Cricetulus griseus: one gene and its partner. The protein of the gene in region 1 interacts with the protein of each later gene in a biochemical or structural test. Links are inferred from orthologs where the notes say so. Each region holds a gene or a part of one and is shown on either strand. Other genes may lie near its edges.

What was found.
Region 2: the proteins of Jade1 (region 1) and Kat7 form a complex in vitro, tested with the Homo sapiens proteins (2 studies listed by BioGRID). The link is inferred for Cricetulus griseus from reciprocal best matches to the Homo sapiens genes JADE1 and KAT7.

The regions. Positions count from the first base shown.
Region 1 is NW_023276806.1:108,454,313-108,458,131, reverse strand, and holds part of Jade1 (protein Jade-1), read left to right. Parts: intron 1-2,374; coding exon 2,375-2,896; intron 2,897-3,819.
Region 2 is NC_048600.1:108,482,475-108,486,293, reverse strand, and holds part of Kat7 (histone acetyltransferase KAT7), read left to right. Parts: intron 1-1,473; coding exon 1,474-1,621; intron 1,622-3,819. UniProt on the Homo sapiens protein: Catalytic subunit of histone acetyltransferase HBO1 complexes, which specifically mediate acetylation of histone H3 at 'Lys-14' (H3K14ac), thereby regulating various processes, such as gene transcription, protein ubiquitination, immune regulation, stem cell pluripotent and self-renewal maintenance and embryonic development.

The DNA of each region.
Region 1 (3,819 bases):
TCGATTTCTGGGACTCATTGATAACTACTAGTCAGTTATGATTTGAGGCCTGGAATGCTGTGTGTGGCTGAGGTTTTAAAGGTGAAGTCTATCTTCCTTTGGAATGGACCCATCATTATGTATCAGATATTCTCTCTGTCTCTTCCTCTGTCTGTCTCTCTCTGTCTCTCTGTTGAAATCTGAGAGACCAATGCAGGGAATGCAACACGGACATTCATGAACTTGACAAGTGTGGTTCTGACTTTAAACACATTACTTCATTTGGCAGAATATGTTATATTTTGGCTGATCAGTGGTTCTTTGAGTAAGGTACCCGATATAATATAATAATGGGTGGTATTATATTCTTTTCCTGTTTTTAAACAATAAAGTGTTTTTATTTTTGACTACTACTATTTCCACCGATATTCAGGCATCCAAAAACACTAAAAGGATATCAGGGCTAGCACAGGGAACCTGAGAGGATTTGGTTTCAGGACCTTAAAAGTTGTAATTTTTTTTTTTTTTTTTTGTACATAAGTAGAATTTGTTGAAAACTAAAATGATAAATGCCTCTGCCTGAGGTTTGGGTTGGGCAGAATTAGAGGAGAGGTCAAGAATGATTTTAGTGTTTGCACATGTGTGCAGCACACACGCATGCATGCACGCACACACACACACCACACCCACACATGCTTTGCTTGTTGCAGATCAGGGAAAATGGCTGTCCTCATGTCTGTGTTAGCTGCTCTTTTGAGTATACCAACCCTGTTCCTTAATTGGCATTCCATCGGAGGCAGATGGGAGCCTTGTCTTTCAAGGAGAAGCGATATAATGACTTTTCTATTGCCATTGACCTCTTTTTCCCAGAGTATTAATTTGAAGAAGGGGCCAAGGAAGGCTGATGACTTTTCATATCTTCACAAACTAGATTTTTATTAAAAGAATCCCTCTCCAAAATGTCTGCAGCTGGGAAGACTCTGGTTTATGTTTCTGTAACATCTGTTTGCTGAGTCAACCTGAATAGGAAATCCCAGAGGAAGGCCATTTGGCGTCTTTTCAAAGTCTTGTATAAATATTCTGCTGCAGCTCATTTCTCTTTAAGGTTAGAATGCCTGGGTTAAGTGTAGTTTAAGCCAAACGCAGATTGTGTCTCAGTCATCTGTTCCCACTTTTACTTCCCACTTGGCTTCATGCTGCTGGGGAGAAGTAGTGCCTTTTCATGATAGTGGCCAGGTGTGTCTGTGTGTGTTCTGCCACCAAAGCTGATTTCACACGTTTCTTGTAATTGAGGTTAGTTATAAAGGTAGAGATTAATCTTAGTGCATATGTTTTAGGTGGTTGGAATTGGGGGTGGTGAAGGGGCTGGATTTTTTTAGTAAAGGATTAAATTGTGGCTGGCACTGAGTTGTATCTCAAATACTGAAACGATGAGGGGGAATCCAGCTCCAGTCTCTCTCAACTCTCTGTGGTTATGTGATGCAGGGTCTGTTGAATGAGTTTAATTAAGCTTTTCAGCTGTCCTGGAGCACAAGATCCTTGGTTGTCTGTGCAGCCCTGGCATGCCCCAGGGATCCCTTGGCCTCACACAATAAGTTGCTTTTAAGGGACTGGCTTCAGCCTCTGAGAGGTACCTCTTTCTAGGGATTTGCTCAGTGAGATCAGACGGGAGAAGTTAATCACTTTGCTCCTGCTGGCCAGAGGCTTGTGTCTGGATCAAAGACACTAAATTGTAGCCTTGTGCAGGCGGGGAGGGAGCAGGGTGTTCAGTGCATCTTGATGAGGCCTGGCCGCCGTGCTGACTTCCCTGGGGCCCACAGGAAGGGAGCCTCTGATGCAATGGTGATTCTACACTAGCAGGGAGGCCTTTCTCCATCCTCCCTTATTCTGCCTTCCTCTGGTGTGATCCTGGATGCTGCTTCCAGGAAGTCTGCTTGTATTTACCTGCCTGAGTTGGGACCTTTTCCAGCTAGGGGTTGTACTGAGGATTCAGTCTTTTTTAAAACCTACCAGGAATGTGTATGCTGAGGAGATTGCTGTTCACATTTTTTATAAAACTATGTGAGCACAAATCTTTGAGAAACTAGATTAATGCCTCAGAGTATACTCTGTACATGGAGTGCATGTCTTGAGGGTTGTGCCATCCTCATCTACAGGGCCAGTTAGTTGTATGCTGGCCCCCCCACCCCCCAGATTGTAGTGCCGTGACTGTTTGAAGCAAGCTATAGTTTGGGCTGTTTGCATTGTTCCCCGATATCTCTGACCTTCCCTTCCCTTTTCATCCTTGTCTAGCTTTCCTGTCTCAGTGAGTGTGCCTTTGTCGTCATGTGGGGTGGCCAGCACTAGGGACTCTGGTTGCTACTGCTCCATAATGGTCTCCGTGTGTTCTTTGCAGTGCTCTGTGAAGAACTGCCGGACAGCCTTCCACGTGACCTGTGCTTTTGACCGTGGCCTAGAGATGAAGACCATTTTGGCAGAGAATGATGAAGTCAAGTTCAAGTCCTACTGCCCAAAGCACAGCTCACACAGGAAACCCGAGGAGAGCCTGGGTGAGGGGGCTGCACAGGAGAATGGGGCCCCCAAGTGTTCTCCTGGGAGCCCTCTGGAGCCCTTTGCCAGTTTGGAGCAGAATAGAGAAGAGGCCCACCGGGTGAGTGTTCGCAAGCAGAAGCTACAGCAGCTGGAGGATGAGTTCTACACCTTCGTCAACCTGCTGGATGTGGCCAGGGCCTTGCGACTGCCTGAGGAAGTAGTGGATTTCCTGTACCAGTACTGGAAGTTGAAGAGGAAGGTCAACTTCAATAAGCCCCTCATCACCCCAAAGAAAGATGAAGAGGACAATCTAGCCAAGCGGGAGCAGGATGTCTTGTTTAGGAGGCTGCAGCTGTTCACGCACCTGCGGCAGGACCTGGAGAGGGTAATGATTGACACTGACACCTTATAATGACTTAGAGAAGAAGATGTAAAGAGGCGAGCACTTGCCCAGAGCAAGAGATGATAGCCAGTCGTTACTCTCAGATTCTTGTACACACTACAGCATGGGGTTGTGTTGGTTAAATATATTTATGGGCTGGTAAATTCACTGCAGTGTGCAAGACTGCTAGTGTGGGAGCTGCTTTGTGATTATTTTTCTTTACATACTTTCCCATTAATCTTTACTGTTCTGCAAGATCAGATGGGGCATACCTCCATCCCCTGCTCGCTCCCATCATTGTAAAGCTGGAGGGAATTGAGCACCAGGAACACAACCAAAGGGTTGACTCAGCATTGTTTACAGTCTGATTTTGAGAACTGGGATGTATCTGACTAATGGGGGAGAGGGCAGCAGTAGGGGAATTTCTTGTTCAACCTGGGGAGACATTTCCTAGGGGCTGATGGAGGACCCATCAGACAGAGCTAAGCACTGCCTCCCAATGGCCCATCTTTGCTTCTAGGCTAATTCACGGGCATTCCCAGCTCTGTTGCCGAGCAGAGCAGGCTATGGGTGCTGATAATGTGTGCATGAATTTAGACACACACCTGCTACAGAAGACACTTGGTAGTGAGGTGCTAAGTCATCACAGAGGTTGTGTACATGCAGTGTGTGTGCTTGTGTGTGCTCGGGTATCCCTGTCTTTTGTGTGTGTGTGTGTGTGTGTGTGTGTGTGTGTGTGTGTGTGTGTGTGTGTGTGTGTGTGTGTGTGATTCCTGGTGCACAGGGGCATTGGGTCTGTCTGGAATCCTTAGCAGTCTCAGTACACTACATACATATACACAGACATGTGTTTATCATACTACTGGGTTGCTGATGAAGTGGCTGGCTGCCTGGAGCCTCAGCTGCTGGCACTTCCCTCAGCTGTT
Region 2 (3,819 bases), on another chromosome or scaffold:
ATGAGTTTTTTTTTTTTTTTTTTTTTTTAAACTGGCATATGGGGCTGGAGGGATGGCTCAAGGGTTCAGAGCACTTGTTGCTCTTTCAAAGGACTTGGGTTCTTCTCCCAGCACCCACATAGTGGCTCATAACCATTTGTGACTTCAGTTCCAGGGGATTTGACAACCTCCCTTGACCTCTAAGGGCTTGTATGCTATACACAGACATGTAGGCAAAACTGTCATAGAATAAAATCTAATTTTAAAATAAACTGTTTTTGACTACCTATAAGTCTTTATTATAAATTCCTTTCCCAGCACTTATAACATTCATGTGGAGAAACTTCAAGGACAGTTGGATAAGAAAATAATTTGTATTTTTTCTGCTTAAATTCTTTTGGGATTAGAGTTATAGATCATTACATGTTTATTTAGTGAGTTTTTTTAAAAGATCTTTTTGCTTGTATAATGTATGTATGTGATACATGTGTGTATACAGATTTACCACAAATATGTAGGTAGGTAACTGCAGAGGCCAGAGGAGCTTGTTGAAGCTCCTATAACTGGAGTTACAGGCAGTTGTGAGTCACTGTGTGTGTGTTGGGAATCGAACCCAGGTCCTCTGCAAGAGCAACACATGCTCTTGACCAGTGAACCATCTCTTCTGCCCCAAGACCATATTTTGAAATGATGTATTTTTGAGTGTTTTTTGAGTCAGGGTCTCTTGTAGCTCTAGGTGTCCTGTAACTCATGTAGACCAGGCTGGCCTACATCTCACATAAATCTTCCTACTTCTGCTGGGATTAAAGGCATGTGCCCAGCTAGTGTGATTTTTGTTGATGGAGAGTTTGAATAAAATTTACCCTGAAGTTAAAAGGGGCCCTGCATTAACATTTTATATACTATCTTGGACTTTTCTTTTTTAAAAAAGATTTGGTTATATTGTCCTAACTCTGTGTATGAATGTATAAGTACAGGTGCCCCAGGAGGCGGGAAGCATTGCTTCCCCTGGAGCTGGGGTTACAGGCAGTTGTGAGCCACCATGTAGGTGCTGGGACTTGAAGTCAGGTACTCTGTCTGAGTTGTATATGCTCATAGCCACTGGGCCGTCTCTGCTTTGTCTTTTTCTTTCTTTTTTTCTGACATAGCTTTGCTAGCAAGACCATTTTGATTTGGGTGTTTTGTTGTTGGGTTAGATGCTTTTATTTTCAATGTGTTAATCTCTTATGAGAGTTCTAATGATTAGTCTGAATTGTTTCAGAATTAGGGATAATACAGTAAGAATTACTTCTCTTTCCAAAGTTAATTTGTATGTTATCCCACCAAAGTGTCTGAAATGAAGGATAGTTCCTCTGAACAGGGAGGGAAATTGTGGTGGATCCTTTCTTACACTGGAACTTGATGCTTCGGCATCACGGTTCATTTTACTTCCAATGCTAATAGAAACCCGCAGTAAATGCTTCCATGCTAATGTCTGGATCTGTGGTATTACAGAGAAATGCAGGCAGTAGTTCAGATGGAACCGAAGATTCCGATTTTTCTACAGATCTCGAGCACACAGACAGTTCAGAGAGTGATGGCACATCTCGACGATCTGCCCGAGTCACCCGCTCTTCAGCCAGGTTAAGCCAGAGTTCTCAAGGTAAAAGTCTTTTTATTTATTTATTTATTTTTTCTCACTGTTCCTCACAGTGGACAGATTGATACCATTTTTTTAAAAAAGATTTTATTTATTTATTATGTATACAACATTCTGCTTCCATGTATATCTGCACACCAGAAGAGAGCACCAGATCTCATAACAGATGGTTGCGAGCCACCATGTGGTTGCTGGGAATTGAACTCAGGACCTCTGGAAGAGCAGCCAGTGCTCTTAACCTCTGAGCCATCTCTCCAGCCCCAGATTGATACCATTTTATTGTGCTGGTTCATAGGGAGAATGGTCTTTTGGCTTTGTGTAGATGATAGAATGTGTCAATGTGTAAGGCAAATGCAAAAATACCTGGTTTTCAGAATGACTTCTGTCAGATACCACGTCCTGTTTATAGGTTGTGGCTTGCATAAATGTGAGACATAGATGTCTTGAGTCTTTTTTTTTTTTTTTTTTTTTTTTTAAGATTTTATGGTGCTGTCGGTCATCATAAAATTGGTAAAATGGGACTGTTATTTCATCACTTTGTAAAATGACTTAGGGACCTAAATGCCTATTGAATGTATTAGTGAGGCTTATTGCTTCTAAAAGCACATTTAATTATAGAATGTAGAGTCACATTTGATAGATATTAAAGTGTACGGATAAATACCCAGAATTTTGCTGTGGTAGTGAAAAAAACAAAAGGCTTGTGTTTGAAGGTAGGTGGAAGACTCTCTAGTGTACTTAGCCATTTGGGGTTATTTGGTAGGTAGCCTTTTGCCTCTCATAGTTCTGTTTGGTATGGAAGAAAGGTTTTAGCTAATACACAATCTTCAGAGATAGAGTAAATAGAAAAATTACAATATGGGGCTAGGTGTGGTGCATGCCTTGAATCCCAGCACTTTGGAAACAGAGGAGTGCAGATTTCTGAATTCAAGGTCAGTCTAGTCTATATAAAGAGTTCAAAGCTAGGCAGAGATTCATACCAAGACTCTAGCTTTCCCCTCCCCCCCAAAACCCCAAAAATATATTTATGTATATATTACCTGTCTATGATAGGTGTATGGGTGGGTGGGTGTGCACAAATGTGCATGCACAGATAAATGTGATTTGTTAAGGATACTGTGGAAACCCAGAGGTAGGGCAACCATATTGTTGTCTGGCATGAGTCTAGTAGAATTTTACAAATTGAAAGATGAGAAAAATGTTTTAGGCAGAAAGAACCATATATGCAAAGAATCCTGAGAGTTCTAGAAACTGTAATTAGCTATGTCCTAAAAGTTATGGTATTCAAAACAGCTAGACACATGAGCTTGGGGGGGGGGGCACAGGCACTGTTACATTATTTCCTGGCCATGCTGCTGCACAACTCTTGAGCATCAGCCACAGGATAAGAGCACCCTCCCTAATGTGAAATATAGACAGCCTTGTGAAAAGAGCCCCTGGAAGTATATAGACTTGGGGACCTGGCTCTGTACTAACTCAGTCTCTCCTGACAGCTTGAGAATTTCAACTCATACTTCACACATTGTCATAGGATGTTGTTTAAAATATTCTTCAGTTTCAGCTTTGAATCTATTTCCTTATTGGAGATGTGAAAGGTTTATGAAGGCTTCAGAGTAGATTTCTCTATGGGAAGAACATAAGGGGCTGGCTGAGTGATGGCTCAGTAGTTAAGATACTGAGTTGCTCTTTCAGAGGACCTGGGTTCAACTCCCAGCACCCATGTGGTGGCTCATGTCGTTAGTTAACTCCAGGGAATCCAATGCCCTTTTCTTTTCATACACATAAAAATAAAACTTAAAAGACAAAACAAAAACCCAAACTTAAATTTCATTTGTGTGTTTTGAGCCAGTTTATCCTTAGGTAGCCCAGGCTGACCTGTAAATTACTATCATTCTGCCTCAGACTCTGAAGTACTAGGAATACTTATGTCACTAGGTCTGTCTTAAAAATTTTTGTACATTTAGAATCGATTATGACTTCAAATAAGAATACAAGGGTAATCAGAAAGAATAAGTAATTCCCCCCCATACAGTATTTATGTATTATTCTGTTAGTTTTAGGATATCTGTATTGTGATGGACTGTAGCAAGGGAATAGGTGGTATAGTTAATACTGTTAAAGAACTCTCCTCACAATGAGCTTGAGGAGTGTGTTGCTAGTGTTTCTTTCTCTCTTTCCCAAATTAAAGTAAGTATTTTTCT